Linked DNA regions of Drosophila melanogaster. The protein of the gene in region 2 interacts with the protein of the main gene of each other region in a pairwise test. Each region holds a gene or a part of one and is shown on either strand. Other genes may lie near its edges.

What was found.
Region 1: the proteins of Sans (region 2) and CG43773 interact in a two-hybrid assay, tested with the Drosophila melanogaster proteins (one large-scale study listed by BioGRID).
Region 3: the proteins of Sans (region 2) and CG12498 interact in a two-hybrid assay, tested with the Drosophila melanogaster proteins (one large-scale study listed by BioGRID).

What each region holds. Positions count from the first base shown.
Region 1 is NT_033779.5:4,005,546-4,008,501, reverse strand, and holds CG43773 (uncharacterized protein), read right to left. Parts: upstream 813-2,956; 5' UTR 800-812; coding exon 572-799; 3' UTR 518-571; downstream 1-517. Other genes in the region: CG15423 (uncharacterized protein), read right to left, coding at 2,066-2,389.
Region 2 is NT_033778.4:12,934,868-12,938,628, reverse strand, and holds the start of Sans (scaffold protein containing ankyrin repeats and SAM domain), read right to left. Parts: upstream 1,739-3,761; 5' UTR 1,540-1,738; exon of another isoform or gene 1,533-1,539; intron 1,014-1,532; exon of another isoform or gene 956-1,013; coding exon of another isoform or gene 359-955; exon of another isoform or gene 286-358; intron 230-285; 5' UTR 177-229; coding exon 154-176; intron 62-153; coding exon 1-61. Other genes in the region: CG30487 (uncharacterized protein), read left to right, coding at 359-955; SCCRO3 (squamous cell carcinoma-related oncogene 3), read left to right, coding at 2,676-2,850, 2,929-3,066, 3,130-3,463, 3,520-3,761.
Region 3 is NC_004354.4:2,808,015-2,811,479, reverse strand, and holds CG12498 (uncharacterized protein), read right to left. Parts: upstream 1,600-3,465; 5' UTR 1,514-1,599; coding exon 728-1,513; 3' UTR 634-727; downstream 1-633.

The DNA.
Region 1 (2,956 bases), on a different chromosome or scaffold from region 2:
TACAGTTCACTGGGGTCGCTGATTCATGGGTGCTCGCCAACTTGGGGTTGCCTTGGGATTGGGATAAGATCGTGAGTCATCTTGGGTAACTGGGCACTTGAAAAGTGTTAAGGTAGATCAGAATCATAGGCTTATTTAAATAAGCTATTGAGATCGATGCACTCGATTCCACAAGTAAACTGATAAGATACAAGGGTAAATACGTAGTAGTAGCTGGCATTATATGTTCGATTTTTACTAAATGGTGCGCAAATAAAATAGTTTTTTATCATCTATAGTACCACTAATCCAAGTTGATACTTTTTCTGTTTATTGACAATATATAAACAAGATAAATGAAAACTTAGTGTTTTGGCCACAAAATCCAATAGCCATTTCCCAATATCAGCAGATTCTTCAAAGTTAAAATTTTAGAGATAATACAAACAAACTTAAGTTTGATCAAAAAATCATTCAGTAAATCCACAGCTTAAAGAATGTTATAATACTATTTTTCAAATGTAAAACAAAGGAAAATACTGTTTCGATTTCTCAAAAGTTTTATTATATTTTGAAGAGCATATTTTTCCATTTATTGGGTGGACACAGCAGCGACTGGTACAAATGTAGTAGTGGTGGTGATGTTGTTGTTGGTAGCAACTGGAACTGCAACCTGAGTGGGAACAACCACAACATTTCGGGACATCATCCTGCGGCACTGGCGACAAGGACGGCCCCAAGCCAGGGGATTTGCATAGTACAGGACTCCTCGAGGATGGTTGCACTCGGCGCACTTGAGGTTGATATTGATGTCGGACATGGCTCTGTCTTGTCTTGGCTCTAAGTTGTCTCTGCTCGACTGCACTTCAATTTGGCTTTTAACTTTAACTTATAACCTTTTTATACAGCCAGTTTGAATGCGATAAGAAAAATTGAGGACTCGCTTATCACAACAGTGATGGATCAAACTCGTAATTCTGCTGCAGCAGTTGTGATTCAATCTCTCAATCCCTCGATTTTCTGTGACTCATATGTTCTAGGGATGTTGAACTTTTCATTCTAGAGTGACTCATCATAGACCTCTTCTTAAGTGGTTTTTTAGGATACATTTTTACTTGCTATTCTCGATAGTTTAAGAATCCAAAAATAATTATCTTGACTCTTCTCTTCATGAGTAATTAATTCTTTTTTAGATATCAATTCCCGAACTCTTATCATGAAAAATATTTTTCATTTGTATACATATACATTTTAAGCCATAGTTGGATATGCAATTCTTATTTAAATACGGCAAGAATGGTATAACTTTTCATATAAAATCATAATTCAAATTTTACTTTGAGTCCAGCAAGATCTTTTATATTTATTACGCCATTTAAATTGAGAAAACTATTGCCCAGTTTTCGTTATAATAAAGCTTAAAATATGTTTATGTACTGACAGCACTAGTTGTACAATAATTGATAAGCTGGCTACGACCAGAGGACATCAATCATTTCCCACCAGTCAGATAGCAAAACCGAAGCCAAATAATATATACAAAAACCACAAAAAATCCACGAAAGCAATTACCCGTACGGAAAATAGAGAGTGGAAAAGGAATCATGACCATGACCATTGTTTATGTCGTTCGCCTGCAGTTCAATTTTCATATTTGTACCATTAACATTGCAAATAAATGCAGGCATATATATTCGCAATATGAAAATGTGTCACAGCAAGAACCGACATTGAAAACCAATCAAGTATATTTCAATTAAGGTAAAGTGCATTTAAGTTATTTAAGCAAATATTTCGAGCGGATTTACAATTGCATTGGCAATAAGATTGAGGCAAATTAAAATGTCAGCTTACATGAAGAAATATGTGCGTAATATATAGTATACTATAGTATATAGTAGTATAAACACGAAATTCAAACATGAAGGAGTGAACTGTTTATTTATTTTTTATTTTTATTATACAAGAGCTTAGGTTTTGTAAAAAGTTAGTTTATAGTTTCTATTTGCAGAAATACATGAAGTTTAATAAATATTTTTAAAGTTTTTTACTTCGTTGTTGAACGACGGTCATATGGAGACCACGCCTACCACCTGGGCGGTGGGGGCTGCTGAACGATGATGACCTCTTCCCTGGGAGGTGGACGCCGACCGCCGATGTTGAACTCGATGAAGGGAGCTCTTGGTGGCACCACATCCACCTCGATAATGGGTCGTGGTGGTGGCGGCTGGTAGACGGCAGCTGGTGTGATGACCTCCACCCTGGGCGGTGGTGGTGGATACCGGCCGCCCACTCCGATCTCAATCACTGGTCGAGGAATCCTTGGCGGCACAATGTCCACCTCTACAATTGGCCTTCCACCGTGATGGTGATGATGGTGATGACGACGTTCCTCCTCGTAGTACGGCATTTTCTTCAGAAACTATCCAAGTATTGTATCCTTAGTGGGTGAAGTGAATGCCTTTGACTGCTTTCTCGAACTGAACTTGCTTCTTCGCCTGCTTAACTATTTAAGTCAATTTTTATCGCTAATGAGGGGGAATTTTTTTTCCTAATTTTGTTATGTGCGTTTTGCACAGTAGCTTAGTTGGTTATCTTGTCAGGTGGAATAAATGTGTTTTTTTCGATAAAAAAAAAATAAAATTGATAAGTGCCATTTGATAAATACGAAATTCCGAATTGAATTTCATGAGGAGAGTTCAAGGTTTCCATGAATCACAATTTTATATTTAAGAGGAAGGACTTAATTCCATGCTTCTGATTGATGACTCACACTAAATTACATAAACATAAATAAAATCGATAATGCAGTATTTAGAATATTTTTAGAATTAAAGACGGGTAGGTTTTTTGAAGAGCAAGATATTTTATTTATTTCGTTTTAAGGTTATATAGCACAATTATATTTTCTTTGAAACGGTTAAAGTTAAATTCCAGTTTTGTTTTTTTGTACCTTCCTCTGGTTATTAACTTGTTA
Region 2 (3,761 bases):
GGCATTCGTATCCTTCCGTGTGGCTGCTGCCAACACATCCAACAGCCCATCTTTGGCGGCTCTAAACGGAAACGATTGTACCAGAAAGTTAATGAGTCTCTTGTGCATCACCATTGGTGATAAGATAGAGTCAAATTAATTGCATGTACCCACTTGTGAAACCGATCCGATGACATATTCGTCTGTGTTATCTTTCAATCAGGTTGGCGATGGAAATTCTTGAATCGATCTGAAAGGAATCCAAGGCGAGATGAGTAGGCTGTTCATTATACTTGCCATTCCTTTCCATCACACATCTCAAGATTCTCAAAATTAGGTCACACACATAAGCGCCAACAATTCTTTACAATTAAAAAGCATGTCTATAGAAAAAATCTCCTCCGAGCTGCGTAAGATGATAATATCTGACAATCCAATCGAAGCAACAACTTTCGATAAATCTGCAATAGAGGCAACTTTGGATTCCAACAAATTCGAAGATCTACGAATTCCGAAGCATACACTGAAGCAAAAGTTTCTTCTTCGAAAGTCAATAATTGAACATCCCTTTAAAAGAATTCGTGCCGAAGGAGTGGATTGGGCTCACAAAATTCGAGACACCGACGAAGAGAAGGAATCTAATTGGGCAAAGATTGCGACTGGAAAGGTTTCTGGCAATGCCTACGATCTTAAAACCATGATGAGCGAGTGTGAAAATATTTGTGGTTACGGAAACGCCATAAACTTGACGGTCCCAAGGGTGGACAAACTACAGGATCTGGCTAAATCGATCCCAACGGATCCCGATACAGTCTACCTGACCTGTCAATGTGATGATATTTTCTCTAATGGAGGCACAGAAGCTCCGACTCAAAGCCCCGACGAAGTTAATTTCGAAGAGCTGTCCAGCTACTTCGAAAATATGCTCAACATACCCAAGAATCTTCCGCTCAGCGCTGAAATAATGTATACTTAATGATTGGAACGGTGTGTGTATTGTTATATTTAGAGTAAAAAAAGATATAAATCATTTTAGTTTACGGTTTTCTCATTTTAGATGTGGTGATGTTAGGTTTGGATCCCTATATATGCATATACATATGTACAATGTATGTATCAGATCGACTGATTTCCGTTTTGGTGTTACTGGTACCAAATGTAGACGGGGTTTTCGTACTTCTTGTCTTACTCCACTTTTTAATGTGCTTATTGTGTGGGGCTGGCCAATTAAAATAAGCCCGAAGATGAGCCAAATTCCTAAGCCTAAGCATATTGCCCTTTTTCCCAGCACTTGTACTAACGTTCACACGTTTCGAATTAATAATCCAAAAAAGAAAAAGAAAAGTGTAGCCGCCGCGAAGAATCACAGGCCCACGACACACGCACACAAGAAAACATTACCCATTTACTGCGCACGACGGAGTTTGGCTTACATACCAACGACCAACTACCAAGTTCACTCAACCTTGTTGGCTGGTTTTCGAATTGCCCAAAACAACCGAAAATCGAGACAGTCAACCATTTACTTATTTACCACGGGTACACACACTCACTTATTACCAGTTAGTTGTCCCGGTTCAAGACGACTTTTCAAATGCAGGATTTCAAATTGGATTTTCCCACTCCGGGCAGCTTGACACTTTTCTTTTTAGCCAAACGAACCGAAAGTTTTCATCTGCGATCGGTAGAATATGCACGTTCCGAAAGCCGTTACCCGGAAGCACTTTCTACCGCTCCGACTGCATGTTGTTGAATGAAATTGTTAGCTTTGCTCAAACTCGGCGCTCACATTACGCACAGTGGTCGAGAAAATGATAGATGCTGCTTAGACGGCAACTAAATATTTTAATGGGAAAAATTATGTATGCTAATGTTTTGTTTTAAATTTCTTAACCAATAAAGTAATATAAAGAATATAAATTAATAAAAACATTGTATTGAACGTATTGGTTCAATAATCGTATTTGAATATAGAATAATTTGTACGAAAATATTTAAGGTGTGAACTACTGTGCGGAATCAACTTGTATGTCCTACTGTGACTCTCTTCGACGATAGGGTGTTGCCAGACTGAAGTTGCTACGACTATCGCATCAACTAACGTAGAGCACTGCAGCCCTGGTTGACTAGTGCCGCCCTGGTCCGATTGCCAGAAAAAAACAAGACAAGTGAAAAAGCGAGATAAATCAAATTAAAAATATTGTAAAAAATTGTAGTTAAACACGCGCTGGAGCACGGTGAACTGAAAATGTGAATGAAAACCATCAATAGAGAGAGACGAGCGCGATTTGGTGGCACCAAATGCTGCAGTTGCAACCTGCACATGTATGTGTATACGCGTGAGTGTGCGTTTGCGTAGGAGGCACCAAAATAACAACAGCAATCGCAGTGACAACAAAGAATCGGAATCGGAATCGTACTTGTTTGTACTCGCACAGGACGTACTTGGAATCGGAATCGGAATAGCCACTACCATATGCCAGAGGAGGGAATCGCAGTGCCAATGCATAGTTAATAAATTTCCCAGAAGCTATACGACCAGCAGACCTCAATTGCAATTGCACGCCCCTTGACAAATCACAGTGTCTCAGCCAAAACGAAACTGGAAGCCATCGAGTGCTCCCGTTAAGCAAGCAACTGCAGGCGGAGCACGGGGGAGGAGTAGGACCTGGTGGTGCACCAAGCACGCCCGCACTATGGGCAATTGCCTGAAATGCTTCCAGTCTGCCGCCGAACAATCGATGCCAACGAACGCCTCGTCCCCCAATTCACACAATTCCAATTCCAACGCCTGCCAGACGGCCACCAGCCTTGCAAATTGCTACGAATCGGTGGGCATTAATCCCAATGCCAACGAGCGCTGCGCCTTAGGTGGGTATTCTATAGTTAATAACCGCATTGTGATCCAAAGTCTAAGAAACCTCTCTTATTCCGGCTTATGCACTCTAGAAACCGATGAACTGCTCTCTAGCCGAACTCCACTCAAGCCAGCAAAAGCAAACAATTGTGATACTAAGCGTAATAGTTTTAAGTCTTTAGGTTTGCTTAATGGCAGTGCGCCCACCATGAGCGATATCATAACAACTGGTGAGTCAGCGTTCATTCGACTGCCTTGGCGGCATACTCATTCGATTTTCTATATTCTAATAGCTGTCCAGGAATCGATGGAGGTATCGCACCAAACGCTGAGCAAACTATTCGATGTGTACAAAGATCCCGACGACGAGGAGATGATACTCACGGACGGCATCGAGCGACTATGCAATGACCTCAACTATCAGCCCGATGAGTTCGCAATTCTCGTCTTGGCCTGGTGCCTGGATGCCTCGCAGATGTGCCGCTTCACCAAGGTGGAGTTCATTGAGGGTCTGCATAAGATGAGGGCGGACACAATAGACAGTATCCGGGTGCGGCTGGAGCAGACAATCGAGATGCTCAAGGCGGACGCCGAGATGTTCAAGCAGTTATACCGCTTTACATTCCGGTATGCCGTTCTTACTGCTTGGAAGATCAGTACCTAATTAGCGTCTCAAATTTCAGATTTGGTCTGGAGCCCGATCAGCGCGTCCTCTCTCTGGAGATGGCTATTGACCTGTGGAAACTTGTGTTCACTGTACAAACACCTGATCTCTTCTCCAACTGGATACACTTCCTCGAAAAGCACCCGAATATTCGCCGCATACCGAAGGATACATGGAACATGTACCTCAATTTTACGGAACAATGTGATATACAAAATTACGATGATACCGAAGCGTGGCCCAGCCTCTTCGACGACTTTG
Region 3 (3,465 bases), on a different chromosome or scaffold from region 2:
ATTTCCTAATTGCTCATCAGTCGCTTGATTGTTAGCCACGCCCCCCACCCCCAGCAGAACGCCCCCCTTTCGCGGACTCTCGCTCATTTAGCTGGTTAATTGCATTTCATTTAATTTCCGTCATTTCTTTTGCCCTATTGACGATATTTTGTTGCCATTTCGTAACGTTGCTCCAAGTTTGTTGTTCATTAGCGTGCCAAAGTTGCTCCCAAATCTGCAAAGGGGCTGGCCGCTAGGTGGCGCCACACCGGCGACAAAAGCCGTTCAAAGGGGTCGAATTTCTTGGCCACCTTGGCCATCTCAATCTCTTTGCTCTTTCACTGTTTCACTGCTAATTGCACGGCATTTAAGTGTCCCCCAATTTCCACTCCCCACGCTCCCACATTGTATCGTTTTAAAAACATTTTATTTGCAGAATTTATAGGTGCTGTAAAAGTGTAAGTTCCAAATTGCATTCAACACCCTTGAACTTAAATCATTTTTAAACTCCAAGCATAAACTTTTATTAAAGCTTGAGCGCTCATAGATCCTCCTAATTTATATAAACAAAATCCGCTGGTGTTCATTATATTTCAACCAGTTCGATGGATTACATTTTAACACATTTTAAGTCCAAAAATTCGCACAACAATTATGACTGTAATTATTTATGATAACAAGCCATTAAAAGTTCCACCAATTGCCATTATCTTTGCTAAATAAATGTTCAAAAATTAACAATTGCCTATTAATTTGGTTCAGTTTTTGGTAATAATGGAGCAGCTGCCCCCGGATCTTCCTCCTCGTCTACGGTATCCGCTTTTCCCCTCGATGGATTTTCAGTTGGCGATTGCGAAACGAACGGGAGCGAATGATTCAATTGCCAGGGATAAACAACGCCATGCCGCTCCATGATGCCGATTTTCTGCTGGGGCCTCAGGGCGAAGGAGAAGGTCCTTTGGATCAGGCTTAAAGGCTTGGCCTCCAACTGCAGTGCGTTGTACAGTTCGACCTTCTTGCGCGTCAGTATGTGGGTGGTGGGTGGACTTATGGCCTGGTTAACACAGTTATCGCGCCACAGTTCGAATTCCTCCTGGGTGAAGTTCAGGTTAGAGACATCGTTAATCTCGTGCTGCATCTCCAGGTCATCGTAGCGCAATCGCAGCGCCACATTCGTGGGTATCTGCTCCACTTTGTAGCCAAAGTCCAGTTCGCAGATGCCCAGCACCTCGGCGATTCGATGATCAGGCAACTCTCCCTGCCCACTGACATTCACGCGGACAAAGCATCCAGTGACGGCCTGCTCGAAGGCGGGTCGAACCAGAAGCAGACCGATTCGATGGCGGCTCAGACGTAGCAGCTCCAACTGATCGCGACTGGTCACCGGTAGATCCGGAGTTGGTGGCTTCTCGTAGCCATTCACCCACGACTCGTTCTCGTCGTCGATCCGCAGAGGCGAGGCGCGAAGATTCCTCAGTTCGCGGACTATTTCCGCTGCCGGACGACGAACGTGTCGGGATCGCTGGTTAGACATTTAAGTGGGCTTATGTGAGCTTCGCCAAAAAGGTTTCCTCAATCAACATTCGAACAATTTTTTAAGGGTTTCGGCTTGTTACTTGACCAAACCAAATTGTGACAACTGAATCCGTGGGGGCGACAGCAAACCCGAATAAATTTGTGCTCAACTCGAAAATGGTAGCCACATTTCAAAAACTCGAGTAAGTATAGACCGTAAAGCTGTAGAATATTTTGCAGGGCACTCATTTCGTTCTTTTTTTTTTTCTAGCTGATCCATTTGAATGCATTTAACGACCCGCCTTCGTTTTATGCCCTCCATAAATGCCAGGGGCCAAACTATTAAATTTATATTAATTTCGTAGTTTTTCCTTGGCTAGCATTTCACTTGGCACCCGCTGCTTAAGCCCACATTTTCCCCCCTTGCCGATTATATATACCTGCTGGGGTTGAAAGGAGCGAGAGTGGGTTGGATCTTTTCCCATTTGGCAAAAGATTTATTATACAATTGCTTTAATTACAGTTGCAGCTAATTGTATGCGGACCTCCCGGGCAGATGCTACTTTTGATGCTGGCACAGAGCCCATTCAGTGGGTGGTGGATGCCTGGCTACTGGCTACTGGATATAGTGGGTAATCGGTAGTGGAAAGTGGGTAGTGTATGGTGTATGGTGGCGAGTTAATGGAAGGACGGTGGTTGCCTGATGGAAGGGTAATGCAAAATCTTTGCATGCTTTGTATGTGAGTCTGCATAAATAACTTGGTTGTATGTGTGGCACATCGAAAATGCTGCTCACGCACAAATTCTCCTCGCTCTGCTTGTCGTCCTTGCGACCCCCTCCTGACACCCCCTGCCAACCACCACCTTCAACAGCACCTCATTTTGGAGTCTCCCTCAGCCAGTTCCTTTGGATCCGCCGCCCCATCCTTCAGCATGCGCATACACTTAAGGGCAAACTCGTTTATGCAAGCTCAGTCATCATCATCATCATCATCATCATCATCATCGTCATCATCGGCATCATCGGCATCATCGGCATCCACATCCATATCCTTGTCCACCGCCACATCAGCATCGCTATTCAGGCCATCTTCTCCTCCCCTGCTCAAGTATCCAACACCTCATCTCATCTTCGATGAGCTGACCAACAGAAATTCCCTTCGATTTCAATGATGCTTTCTTTTTTTTTTTTTTTTGGCCATAAAGCGAAAGAAACACTGGCAAAAATTGGTAATTAATCGGTTATATTGGATTTATAAATAAATTATAAATTATAATAGAAAAATCAAAATTTAATGGAATCTTTTTAGCAGGCAAATGAAAATATTTCCTGCTTAAGAGATATCTACAAATTGGCGTAATTTATGGAGATGGCGCGTGGGAGACAATCCCTCGGGCGAACTTTTGAAACAAATCATGTGGCGTTGAAGTTATTAAAACGGCGTAAAACTGAACATCATGCGAATAATTTAAACACTGGATGGCTATGAGTGTGAAAAATCCTAGAAAATTCTAAACGCCATGAGACCCATCCATCATGACGGCATCAGCTGGTCCAACTGGAGGACCCAACATCAAGTCGACGAGGCTCAAGAACTTTTCCTCGAACACCTTTAGGCCGGGGGCGCGGTACAGTCACCACCGCCATGGAGGCCAGTTGGCCACTCCTTGACGTTGACAGGCTGTGCACAAAGTTTGCGCCCATGAGTAGTGTCATGGGTAGTACGTAGTACGTACGTATGTATGTATGTACCATAGGCAAAAGGCGGTGGAGAAGCTGCGAAGGAGGCCGGAACCCTCGTCCAGCTGGCTGACATGCCAAGCCCTTAACCCTTTGCAGTGCTGCCAGCAGTGCTCTTCGGTCCTCAAACCCTAATGAAGTGCAAGAATATATATATGGAAGCTAGTACGAATAACTATTAGGATCCACCATTTTTTTCCCCCTCTGCTAATTACTGCTCACCACTTAAA